Linked DNA regions of Astyanax mexicanus. Each later gene encodes a partner of the first gene's protein in a complex. Links are inferred from orthologs where the notes say so. Each region holds a gene or a part of one and is shown in the gene's direction. Other genes may lie near its edges.

Region 1 (3,757 bases):
GCAGGCCTCTCTAAGGTGGTACGGTAAAGGGACGGTGAAGGCGCTAAAGCCCAGATCCAGGGTGATGCCTCTCTCTTTGGACTGCGGGTTCTTGTCGAAGGCAGCGGTGGAGGCGGTGCTGCTCAGAGCCCTGGCTAGAGACGTCTTCCCGCTGTCCACATGGCCCAGGACACCCACATTAAAGTTCAGAATCTGGGGGAGGAGGCCGTCCCCAGCGTTAGCGCTCGGATCTGCCATGTGTGGAAGAATTAAAGACAGGATCCGAACGAGACACAATAGGGAAGCAGTGGACTTTGATCTAAGATGACTGTGCACTTTCAGCTTAATTCACACCAAAAAAAAGTTGTGCTGCTGAAAAACACAGATCTTGTAAGTTAGCTGGATGCAGTTTAACTCAAGCACCTCTCAGATGTCAAAAACGAGTAATTTCAAACTGAACCAACTCGAATCAACTCCCTCCTATACAGACAGTGCGCCATATCATATCGTTTGACAGATACGCTAACTACACTTCCTGCGTCGCCTAAAAAACACTACCTCCACCTACGGAACATGTCTCAGGGAATGGGACCCAAACGTAGGTAGTGGATAGTGTTAGCTAGCTGACTAGCTAAGCTATATGAGCTGCTGCTGACCTACTGCAAGTAAAGTTATAATATAATACAAGTAAGTAAATAAAATAAAATAGTACCAAAAACAAGATAGCTCTGTTTAGCTACGTATAAATCCACAAGACTGCACTTTTATGCAAAAACATCTTGACTGAGGACTTAGATAAATTCAAACGATGCTAAAACTAAAATATGCTGTAAGACAAAAAACAATGCAGAATCCCCAACATTTATAAAATAATAATAAAAAAATTAAACAAAATTTATATATAACTTAAGTTAACCTGCAGTGAAACATCTTACGTTAGCTAGCTAAAGCACGCAGCGCACAGTTATAGTTAGCTTAGCTTCTGTTTCTAGACGGATCTTTAAACTCGCCCACCAACGGAAAGGGCCAGCTAACGTTCTTCAACGTTAGTTCTTCAACGCTTCTGATGAACATCGGTGTTGACCAATGAGCGAGCAGATCGGAAGACTCTTAACCAATAGCGATAAAGAAAGAAGCTAGACATGTTAGCAGGGGCGGTGACTTCCCGAATCTCCTTGGTTACCCGCATGGAAACGCGGTCCCCCGTGTTTGCAGTCGCGCCGATTTCAACGGCGAAGCAGAAGAGCGCTGCTGGGCACGGAGAGAGCTTCTACTCGAGCTTTGATAATCACAGAAAAGAGCCATGAAGATCGAGGAGGTGAAGAGCACGACGAAGACCCAGCGCATCGCCTCGCACAGCCACGTGAAAGGCCTTGGCTTGGACGACGCCGGCAATGCTAAGCAGACCGCGTCCGGCCTGGTTGGACAGGAGGCCGCCAGAGAGGTAACTAATTAACATGGCTAGGAGAGCTAAGCTAGCTAACCTAACCAACTAATGGGGAATATGTGAGCTGACTTACTTTCTAGCTACCTAAGTAGCTTACTAACTAAAATATCATTTGATTAGGAAAACCGACGACTTGCAATGAACTAGAGCACAGTGTGTGTGTGTGTGTGTGTGTGTGTGTGTGTGTGTGTGTGTGTGTGTGTGTGTGTGTGTGTGAGAATTAGGCTAGCGTGCTAACTAATGTGTGTGACACCTGCGTCTGTAGCTAGTGTAACTAAAGGTGCACGATAATATCGGAACTTTATCGGTATTTTATTCGTTTAGTCAGAATGATTTTTTTTAGTAATGTCGGTATTTTTTTAGGTGTTTTCAGAAATTTAATTAAAGACAAAACTGGTATTTATATGCTCCTATTGTACTCAAAACAAAACTTTAGTCAGGTCTACTGTCCCAGCGTTTTGCTCACTGTAGCCTAGATAACCTAGCTAACATACCTTATGTACTAAATAATTAAATAGCTAAAATTAGGGGAGTGTCATATCGTTTTTTAATATTGTAAACAATATTATACCCTGAAATATTGTGGTAATTAGGGGTGGGTAATATGGCACATCAGGGTATTACCTTTCCTATTATATATCTACGAGAGACAGATTATAGTTAGCTATGTTAATACTTGTGAATTGCTAGTTTATATTTAAATATCTGCAGATTGCAGTATATCTGCTGACAACCTCTTCTTCTGAGAGGCTTACTAAATAACTGCAGCTAAATGTTCCCAATGGTCCTATTTTTTCCAGGCATGCGGCATCATTGTGGAGCTGATTCGTTCCAAAAAGATGGCTGGCCGAGCTGTCTTACTTGCAGGGCCACCTGGAACTGGAAAGGTAGGCAATACAAACCAGTGGCTTTGCATAAAGACCAATGTTGATGCAACTAAGGTTGACGAGTAGTAGTTTAGTGGTAGTGTGTATAATCACCTGTTTATGCCCGTCAGACTGCTCTTGCCCTGGCCATGGCCCAGGAGTTGGGAAATAAGGTGCCATTCTGTCCGATGGTGGGCAGTGAAGTGTATTCATCTGAAATCAAAAAGACGGAAGTATTGATGGAGAACTTCAGAAGGGCTATTGGTGAGTCCCCATAATAATACATCTACTTTCACAAGTTATGCAGAATGCTGGAGAAGAAATGCTCTGAGTGAAAACTTGATGTAGAACTAATAGGAAATATGAGAATACAGTATTATTTGTAAATTGTTTAATACAATGTACTACATAGGTAATAAGTGAATAACACTAAATATGATTAAACTCATTAAAAATGCAGTCTAAAGTGAGTGATAAATGTTGTTTTATGTAAAGCCATTGGGCTTTTATTTTGTAGGCTACAGTTTTCATACCTGACATTTCTGTCCACCCCAGTCACTGAATGGATTTAAGTTTTCAAGAATATTGATACAACCTGCAAATTCAAATAAGAGATTTGGAAATTGTTATGGTAATATTATTTGTGTAAAAAATGCTCCTAACACTTACAGATACAACAATATCTGTCTGTTGATATAACCTGTCATAAGAGAGGAAATGGCGTAAATAATCTTAAAGGGGGAGAGAGGCATGCTGTACGAGGCCATAGAGAGTCCATTATACTGCTGTCAACATGCCCTTGACATTTGCCCTTTGCTTTTGGCTCACTCATATTGAGAGAGAGTTACTGAACACCAGTAGGCAATATGCAGAAAAAAAAATTGGTTACTGTGTTACCAACACACTTTGCTCCAGAACATCCAACTGCCACACCAATATTTTACATTGTTACATTGTGTGTGTGGTCTGTGCAGGTCTGCGAATTAAGGAGACTAAAGAAGTGTATGAAGGTGAGGTGACTGAATTAACGCCATGTGAGACAGAAAATCCAATGGGTGGCTATGGGAAGACTATCAGTCATGTCATCATCGGCCTGAAAACAGGAAAAGGAACTAAACAGCTGAAGGTAAAAATTAAATCTAAAACACATCTTTGTGGTAATGTGAGAGATAATATTTGTGTATATACCATGTGCTCTATTTCTCTGTGCCATAGCTTGATCCTAGTATCTATGAGAGTCTACAGAAGGAGAGGGTGGAGGTTGGTGATGTCATCTATATTGAAGCCAACAGTGGTGCAGTCAAGGTAAGGACACACACAAGCTATTAGTTGTGTTTTTTGCACACTCACAGCACACTCTTGGTGTGTTGATGTATCTTTTAGTCGGTGCAGGTGGGCAGGCAGTCTGGCAAAGGATTAAAGACAAGACTGTATTTCGTAGTGCTGACAGACCTTTCAAGGTCCC
Region 2 (3,757 bases), on another chromosome or scaffold:
ACTTATCTTTTTAAAGGACCAAGTTCACAAAACCAGGAAAATAAAAGTGCAAATCAGAAACACTGTCTGTTAATAAAGAGGATATGAGAGTGCATATGTGCCTAATAAGACCCTAGAGATATAATAATGTAGATTTTATCTGTATGTTTGATCATACACAGGTGATTGTTTTAATATGAAAGAAAACTTTCCTTGTCCATGTTGTTTGTTTATATTTGTTTGTTTGTTTTCCTCAAAAGGTACAAATAAAATATCTTAACTTTAATTGGTGTGCTTATGTTTAAATGTGTTATGTTCTATGATTCCTATATTCCAAATTGTATTTCCTGCTTCAAGAAAATTCTATAGTTTGGTCAGTAAATCAGAGATGAAGCAGAAGCAGGTAGCAAATTGTTTATCTTGTTGTTTAACTAGGCAGATACACCTTTGGTTCCGTGCCTGAGTATCAGATACTTGCTGCATCATTCAGGGTTGTCTACTACAGCTTAAACCAGTGAGGTCATTCAGTAAAAGTATATTTTCTGCTAGGACAAGAGTCAGGGTCTTGGATGTTGTATGATCACTACCCCACATCATCCCCCAACTATTTGTGAATTTATTAGATGACTTGTTAAAGTGTCTGAATGCATTATATGAGGGAGTGTCCATAAATTAAAAAAATACGAGTCTCTTTGATTTTTACCTAAATGAAAACCTCTGCAATATAATCAATCATATATACTCAATCATATATACTGTATCCTGCCTTCTGCCCGATGCCTGCTGGGATAGGCTCCAGCACCCCCCCGCGACCCTTAATGGATAAAGCGGTTGATAATGACCTGATAATATACTCAATCATTTATCCAAAACCAGTGTGTAAGACTGGTGGAGGAGAGCATGCCAAGATCCATGAAAACTGGTTATTCCACCAAGGTTATTAAATTGATTTCTGAATTTTATGAATATAAACTTTTTTTTTTTTGGCGTTACTTGAGATCTGAAAGCTCTGCATATTTTTGTTATTTCAGCTGTTTTTTTTTTTCATTTTCTGGTAATAAATGCTCTAAATTACAATATTTTTTTATGTGGAATTTGGAAGAGATATCTGTAGTTCATATAATTAAAAAAACAATGTTCTTTTACTCAAACATATACACAAAACATTTTTTCAAGAGCTGTATATGTTCTGGGAATGTTCTGCTTAGCATCATACTGTAAGGCACATACACATTTGAAGGAAATGTGCTCTTGAATGTAAAGGCGATTTTTTAAATCCACTTCACTAAATATAAAAAATCCAAATATTTAGAATGTATGTTTATAATAAGCATGAAGACAATATATTTACATGTCCGGTGCAGCAGGGGGCAGTAGCCGCAGTTATGCTGCTGATATAATGTTGGACTGGAGAAGAACAAGAGCTGAATACAGTTAAACTGCGTAAAGGCGCAGAAGCGCAGTCTCAGTTCCCACTGCAGAGAATGGAGTTTATTTAAGGAGTTTAATTCCATTAAAACACGCCTTGAATACTTTAACCCTGAATAACAGCTGCTGAAAATGACAACCCTCGTCCTGGATAACGGAGCTTACACAGCTAAGATCGGATACAGCCATGAGAAAGTCAGGTAGGAGGTTTAGGTTAAATAACCTGTTAGTTAACTAGCTACACAACACGTACTACACTCGGCCACTAGAAACTGAATTAATGATATCTAATTCCTTGTTTTCTCAGTGTTCTTCCTAATTGCCAATTTCGCTCCAAAACTCTGAGGCTAAAAACCTACACTGCCAATCAGCTGGATGAAATCAAGGATCCATCTGGCCTCTTCTATATTCTACCATTTCAGAAGGTAAGCTAGATACACAGCCACATACTTTGTTTTATTATTATTATCTACCTTGTAAATTCAATATTGAAGACATTAAAGCTAAACAGAAACACATGCAAAATTGTTTTGTAAACAAAAAGTGTTACACAAGCCAAAATATGTTTCCTACTTTACATTCTTTTAAGTAGCTGGAGGTGCTTCACGCTATAAAGCTCCAGCTCATCCCAAATCACCATCTCATCCCAAATTACTTCATAATTCAATCTGTTTCCTAATTAATTCCACGTCATTAATATTAATATACAATGTAAAAAAATAAATTAACAAATAAAGAGAAACATTGAATGAGTAGGTGTGTTCAAACGTTTGACTGTATATGTACATACAGTACTGTATACAAATTTTAGGAAACTGTGAAGATTTAAATTAAACAGCAGTACATAAATATTTGTTCTGTTAAACTACTAAAACAATCATTTTAAATGGTAGTGGATTTTCATCACTGTGTTTATTAAACTCTCCTTATTAGGAATGCACCGGACTAAAATGAGTACCAAACATGTTTTCTCAGTTTTCATAAATTTGCTCCAGAAATTGAATTTCCTGAATGTATATATTTTTATTGCCATTCAAAGGAAATAACAAAACTACAATTCAAAATATTTATTGACCCCTGAACTTTTTAAAACAAAAATCCTAATAGATATACTAACGAAGTGTAATCTATTCACTTGAACACCAAAAGTGTTTTTTTGCCATTTACAGCTGAAGATTTTTGGTTGCCATATATTTGGTGCATCGCTATTATTAATACTTATTATCCCACACCTGGTTTGGTAAATCAGTGCTTGCTGATGTTCAGTTAGGTGAGTTGGTGGTGGAATTTTTCACATCCATGCACTCGCTGGAGTGTGTACTTTACATACATGCATTTGCATCTGTTCTAATGTAATGTGATTACTATGTCCACAGCCAAGAGTAGAGCCACCCAGTATTTGGCTGGAATAGTAAAAATATATTCAGTAACTTTGGGATTAGTTTGAGTTATGTTCATGATTTATCATTCAGGATAAGTATCTCACCTCACCAATGCTCTCATGGTTAAATACATTCAGATCTTGATACACATCTAAAAAATGCATGAAGGTCTGAGAAGGTGTCAGTATTTGTGGATAGAAAATGTAAATTAAGTGCTTCTGTTTATTTTGAAATATTTGTTTGCTTCAGGGTTATCTTGTTAACTGGGATGTGCAGCGTAAAGTGTGGGATCATCTGTTCGGAAAAGAAATGTTTAAGGTATCTCCCTTTTTTTCTAGTACAACACAGTTACATTACATTGTAGTAGTATGAAACCAGTTATAAATTGAGAAAAATTACATGTTTACCCATAACCTGTGATATTGATATCAGTGTTTAATTGTAAATTTTGGCAGGTTGATTTTGCTGACACCAGCATAGTGATAACAGAGCCCTACTTCAACTTCACCTCAATTCAAGAGTCAATGAATGAGATTTTGTTTGAAGAGTACCAGTTTCAAGCAGCATTAAGAATCAATGGTAAGTTCAGCCTCATATTTTTGTACAGTTTATTAGTGGACAGAGGTGAGTAAATTGGTGTTTACATATTTACATTTATGGTCTTATCAATAGCAACTTTTTTTATCACGGTACAGATATTGTAAACATGATACAGCAAGCTGTAGCAATTGTCTTTCAAAAGCAGAGCATTGCAACTGTCTACTACACTGTGCTAACCATACTGTAGTAACCATATTGTTATGCTGGGAAATTAATGACTCAAGAAAGGTAAATATGTCCTTTACATAACATGTAAAAGTACAATAGGATTAAATAATGCAAATATTGAGTAACTTATAAAACTTCTGTGGAACAATTTAGTCTTTTCAACATCTGACATAAGCAGGAGCTGAAGTTTGTATGTCTGT
Region 3 (3,757 bases), on another chromosome or scaffold:
ACACAGTAGTTAGCAGCATTGCTAGCGAATCTGTTGTCCAAAACCTGTTTGCTGTAGAAAAAGGAAACATACAGGCATATTTTCTTTACATTTTTAGAAATTATTTAATCCAATTTATAAAATTAAAGGAATGTCAAGAATTAGTGAATAGTAACTATTTTTTTTTTTTTTTTTAGTTTTAGTTTTTAGCTGTTAGCCCTATTCACATCCATTCATTTTGGACTCAATCTTCTAAATAAATAAATATAATAATAGATGTGAAATATAGATAATCGTTTAAATATCAGAGCAATATGCGACCAATTGCTATTAATATGCTATTAATATGATGTTATGTTTTATGTATTTTTTAAAATTTAAACTAAACAAAAATGTAAGCTAACGGTAACGAAAGAAGCTTAATGATTTGGGTCTGATTATTATTTTAAAAATGAACTTTTGTATATCTTTAAACACAAAAATATTTTTTTCTATAATACAATAATTTGTATTTTCTGTATGAAACATAAAGGAAAACGTGAATACATTTGCTAAGCTACAATTTAAACAACTGAATAAATAAAGCCTGAGCTCTTAGTTATTAAATTATTTAAAATGTGTTTAAAATTTCTAACAAATTGGAAATATCGTTTTGTTTTTTTATAAAGTAAATATATTAACGTTATTTAAATATGAACACCTGTATTATTAAAAGTATTATTAATAGTATTTATTTATTATTATAATATACCAATCAAAACGTGTAGCATATATTTTCTATTTATATTCTGAATTTTTAAATCAGTTTTAAAAAAATATAATAATAATTAATTTAAGTTCCTCTCGTTTCCTGCTGCGTGTCATGGCTATTTCCGGTATCTTGTAAACAACCGCTTTACTCTCACATGGCGCAGGATTACGCGAGGCAGATCAGTAATTATTAGATATTTACTCGCAGGAAAAGTGTTAATATCTCAGCGTGTGTGTTTTATGAAGCTAGTTAACCTGTCAGTCCTGAAATAACTGCTAGCTAACTAGCCTAGCTAGCCTGTTAGCAGGTTCTCAGCTGTCAGCTTCATTCTGCAGCTCAGGAGAAGAAAAACCTGAATTTCGGTGTTTTAATGAGGTTATTCTAGATCCAGCTTGTTTTTTTACCGTGCCACGTGGAAACTGCAGCTGTAACTAAATTAGCAGGATGACTTCTGGTAATCTCAACATCGACGACAAAGTCCTGCAGTATGAAGCTTTTATCAGTGACGTTCTGAAGAGAGATTTACAGTGAGTAGCTGTACACTGACATGAGAAATTTGTTTATTTAGCCTTTATATACATCACACTGTGTTGTGCAGATGTTTCAGGCACCTTGGTACCTTATTGGTGCTGAAAACTTGTGGATTCTTATTTATTTATCCTGTACAACAGAGAAAACTGTTTCATCAGAACATTTGTGACTACACTTGAAGATAATTTTAAAGTTCTTTAAAATTGTTCCTTTTAAATTGCCTGACCTTCATTTTTCTTAAACATTTGTCTTTATTTTATTGAGTAGTTCTTGCTTCTCATAATATGAATTAGAACATTACTCAAATAGGGCTAATCAATGTATACCTATTCTACCGCTTCACAACTTTACAACTGATTCTTTCAAACACATTATTCAATTAATTAACAAGAAATTAAATGAATTAACTTTTAATAAACTAATTTAATGTCATCTGCTGGTGTTGGTCCACTGTGTTACATCAGGTTCAAAGTCAGTGCACTGTTATCCCGGAAGATCTTACAGCGGATTTCATTATCCAGCAGGACTTGGCACGCTGCCCACTCTGCCAAAAGGACCAGTTGGTCTATTCTAATTTTATAGACTGAATTTGAAGTTTTCATTGGCTGTAAGCCATATTAATCAACAATAATATAAATAAAAGCCTAAAATAGATCAATCAGTGGACTGCACTCTCCTGGATTGCATGTCTTCTGCAGACTGTTTGTAGGCTTTCTTTTGCTTCAGTTTTAGAAGATGGCTATCCAGACTGAGTTAATATAGTATGAATCCGATGGTCTGAGCAATGACAGGCTCCAATGTCTTCATCCACTGCAGCAATGCTGGCAGCACTTATGTGTCATTTTTTAAGCAAACATCCGGATATGGCTTATATAAAATTTGAACCTGTCCTGTTAAACCGCTGTATGAACTTGGCCACTGTGCTGTAGCTCAGTTTTAGTATGCTAGCATATGGCCATCTTTGTGTAGAGCAACAATTCAGTTTCTCACATCCTCAGAGAGTTCTTTATTATGAGGTGCCATGTTAAATATTCATTTGCCATTATAAGAGAACCCCACATTTAACACTCATGCTCCCCATTCACACCTGGCCAGATAAGATGCTTTTTAATTCTAATGTTTTGTACTGCATTATATTTATATATATATAATGTAACTGTGCTTGTTTTATCTAGGACAGTGTTGGAACAGAGAGATGGAGTGTATGATAAAATATCACAGTATCTCCAGCTGAAGAATACAATCAAAAGTATTCAGGTACACTTTATTGTATTTTATTTGTTTCTAGTTTCACTGCCTCTCAACTGCATTCAAATCTGTACTCTCATGTAAAAATGACCAAAAAACAGAATACCGGTATTAACATATTCCAGTAAGATGAGCATCTAAAAGTAGGCCACCGTGTTAAAACCACTCCCATAGCCTAAAGGAAGATACACACACCTAACAACCTCACTGTGCATGTTTTTCTCAGGATTGGTTTTAGTTACAGGATCAGATTCGTTTTTTCCTGATTCATTCATGCATTTTCTGCTGATACTGACCTACTGATATTATGTATCTGCTCCATAGCTTTTGTAAACTGAGCAAAAAGGAGCACTTGCACTTTGCAGTTCAATAATTATAGACTGTAATCCTGTGGTTCTGTCTATCTGCATACTGCATTGCCAAGATAGCAATGAACATCTGACTGATGACTATTGTCTAGGTTGTTTTTAGTTCGTGGCACACCTGTGTTTTCTGTTGCTAAGATAGCAATAAACGAGAAATGTACCTGAACACACCTGAGGTACATTTACCTGCTTTGTCATGGTCTTGAATTGGGGTGTGCCAAATTGCATCGTCGCAATAATATTGCCAATGGTTTTGAATATCATGATCGATATTATATCTTGAAATATTGTGCCATATCACACACCCCTAATTATCACATCAGGGTACTTTTTTTTTAACTGTTTTTAGCAAAAACAATTTCAAAAATCACACTGAGCTCATTTCCCATTATATATCTCAGTTAGGGGTGTGCCATATCATATTGTATGCAATAATAAAATTACATTTTCATTTTGTTGCAGTAGTGTTTTCTTAAAATTATTATTTTTTAATTCCTTGTTTTGTCATATCGCCAAGAGTATCGATATTGTAAAATATTGTGATATTATTTTAGGGCCATATCGCCCATCCCTAGTCCTGAACATTGGAGAACAGGGTAATTTGAGGCATAGTAAAGTATAAAAAGAAACAGTGTCAAAGTGCTCCTATAGTCCCAGTGAACCTGATAACATGCACATTAAGTGAAATACAAAGAACTTGTATTATCATTAAGGCAGATTGCTGTATGTTCTCACCACTTCTGACTCTGTAGCCTTTCTTACCTTTCAGGAAGCTGACAGCAAAGAGCTTAAGACAGATGTAGACCTTGGCTGTAATTTCTATGTTCAAGCTCAAGTGTGAGTGTGGTTTCTTTGGTTTCTCTCGCTCTCAGCGCTCTCTGCC

The links.
Region 2: the proteins of ruvbl1 (region 1) and actr6 are in contact, whole or in part, in a cryo-EM structure (PDB 6IGM), measured with the Homo sapiens proteins. The link is inferred for Astyanax mexicanus from reciprocal best matches to the Homo sapiens genes RUVBL1 and ACTR6. Residues at the interface, in NP_003698.1 of Homo sapiens: Lys162, Thr163, Ala164, Lys165, Gly166, Thr167, Tyr209; in NP_071941.1 of Homo sapiens: Tyr217, Tyr300, Arg338, Cys339, Leu340, Thr341, Pro342, Thr343.
Region 3: ruvbl1 (region 1) and uxt share a complex: the UniProt entries of both Homo sapiens proteins name them as parts of the PAQosome complex. The link is inferred for Astyanax mexicanus from reciprocal best matches to the Homo sapiens genes RUVBL1 and UXT.

Annotation. Positions count from the first base shown.
Region 1 is NC_064412.1:16,298,446-16,302,202, reverse strand, and holds the start of ruvbl1 (ruvB-like 1), read left to right. Parts: upstream 1-1,137; 5' UTR 1,138-1,282; coding exon 1,283-1,423; intron 1,424-2,226; coding exon 2,227-2,313; intron 2,314-2,423; coding exon 2,424-2,556; intron 2,557-3,266; coding exon 3,267-3,418; intron 3,419-3,507; coding exon 3,508-3,597; intron 3,598-3,757. Other genes in the region: eefsec (selenocysteine-specific elongation factor), read right to left, coding at 1-237. UniProt on the Homo sapiens protein: Possesses single-stranded DNA-stimulated ATPase and ATP-dependent DNA helicase (3' to 5') activity; hexamerization is thought to be critical for ATP hydrolysis and adjacent subunits in the ring-like structure contribute to the ATPase activity.
Region 2 is NC_064417.1:36,535,752-36,539,508, forward strand, and holds the start of actr6 (actin-related protein 6), read left to right. Parts: upstream 1-1,378; 5' UTR 1,379-1,539; coding exon 1,540-1,607; intron 1,608-1,714; coding exon 1,715-1,832; intron 1,833-3,038; coding exon 3,039-3,107; intron 3,108-3,244; coding exon 3,245-3,368; intron 3,369-3,380; exon of another isoform or gene 3,381-3,757. Other genes in the region: gtse1 (G2 and S phase-expressed protein 1), read left to right, coding at 1-14. UniProt on the Homo sapiens protein: Required for formation and/or maintenance of proper nucleolar structure and function. Plays a dual role in the regulation of ribosomal DNA (rDNA) transcription.
Region 3 is NC_064419.1:3,787,628-3,791,384, reverse strand, and holds the start of uxt (protein UXT), read left to right. Parts: upstream 1-834; 5' UTR 835-1,174; coding exon 1,175-1,257; intron 1,258-2,436; coding exon 2,437-2,518; intron 2,519-3,643; coding exon 3,644-3,711; intron 3,712-3,757. UniProt on the Homo sapiens protein: Involved in gene transcription regulation. Acts in concert with the corepressor URI1 to regulate androgen receptor AR-mediated transcription. Together with URI1, associates with chromatin to the NKX3-1 promoter region.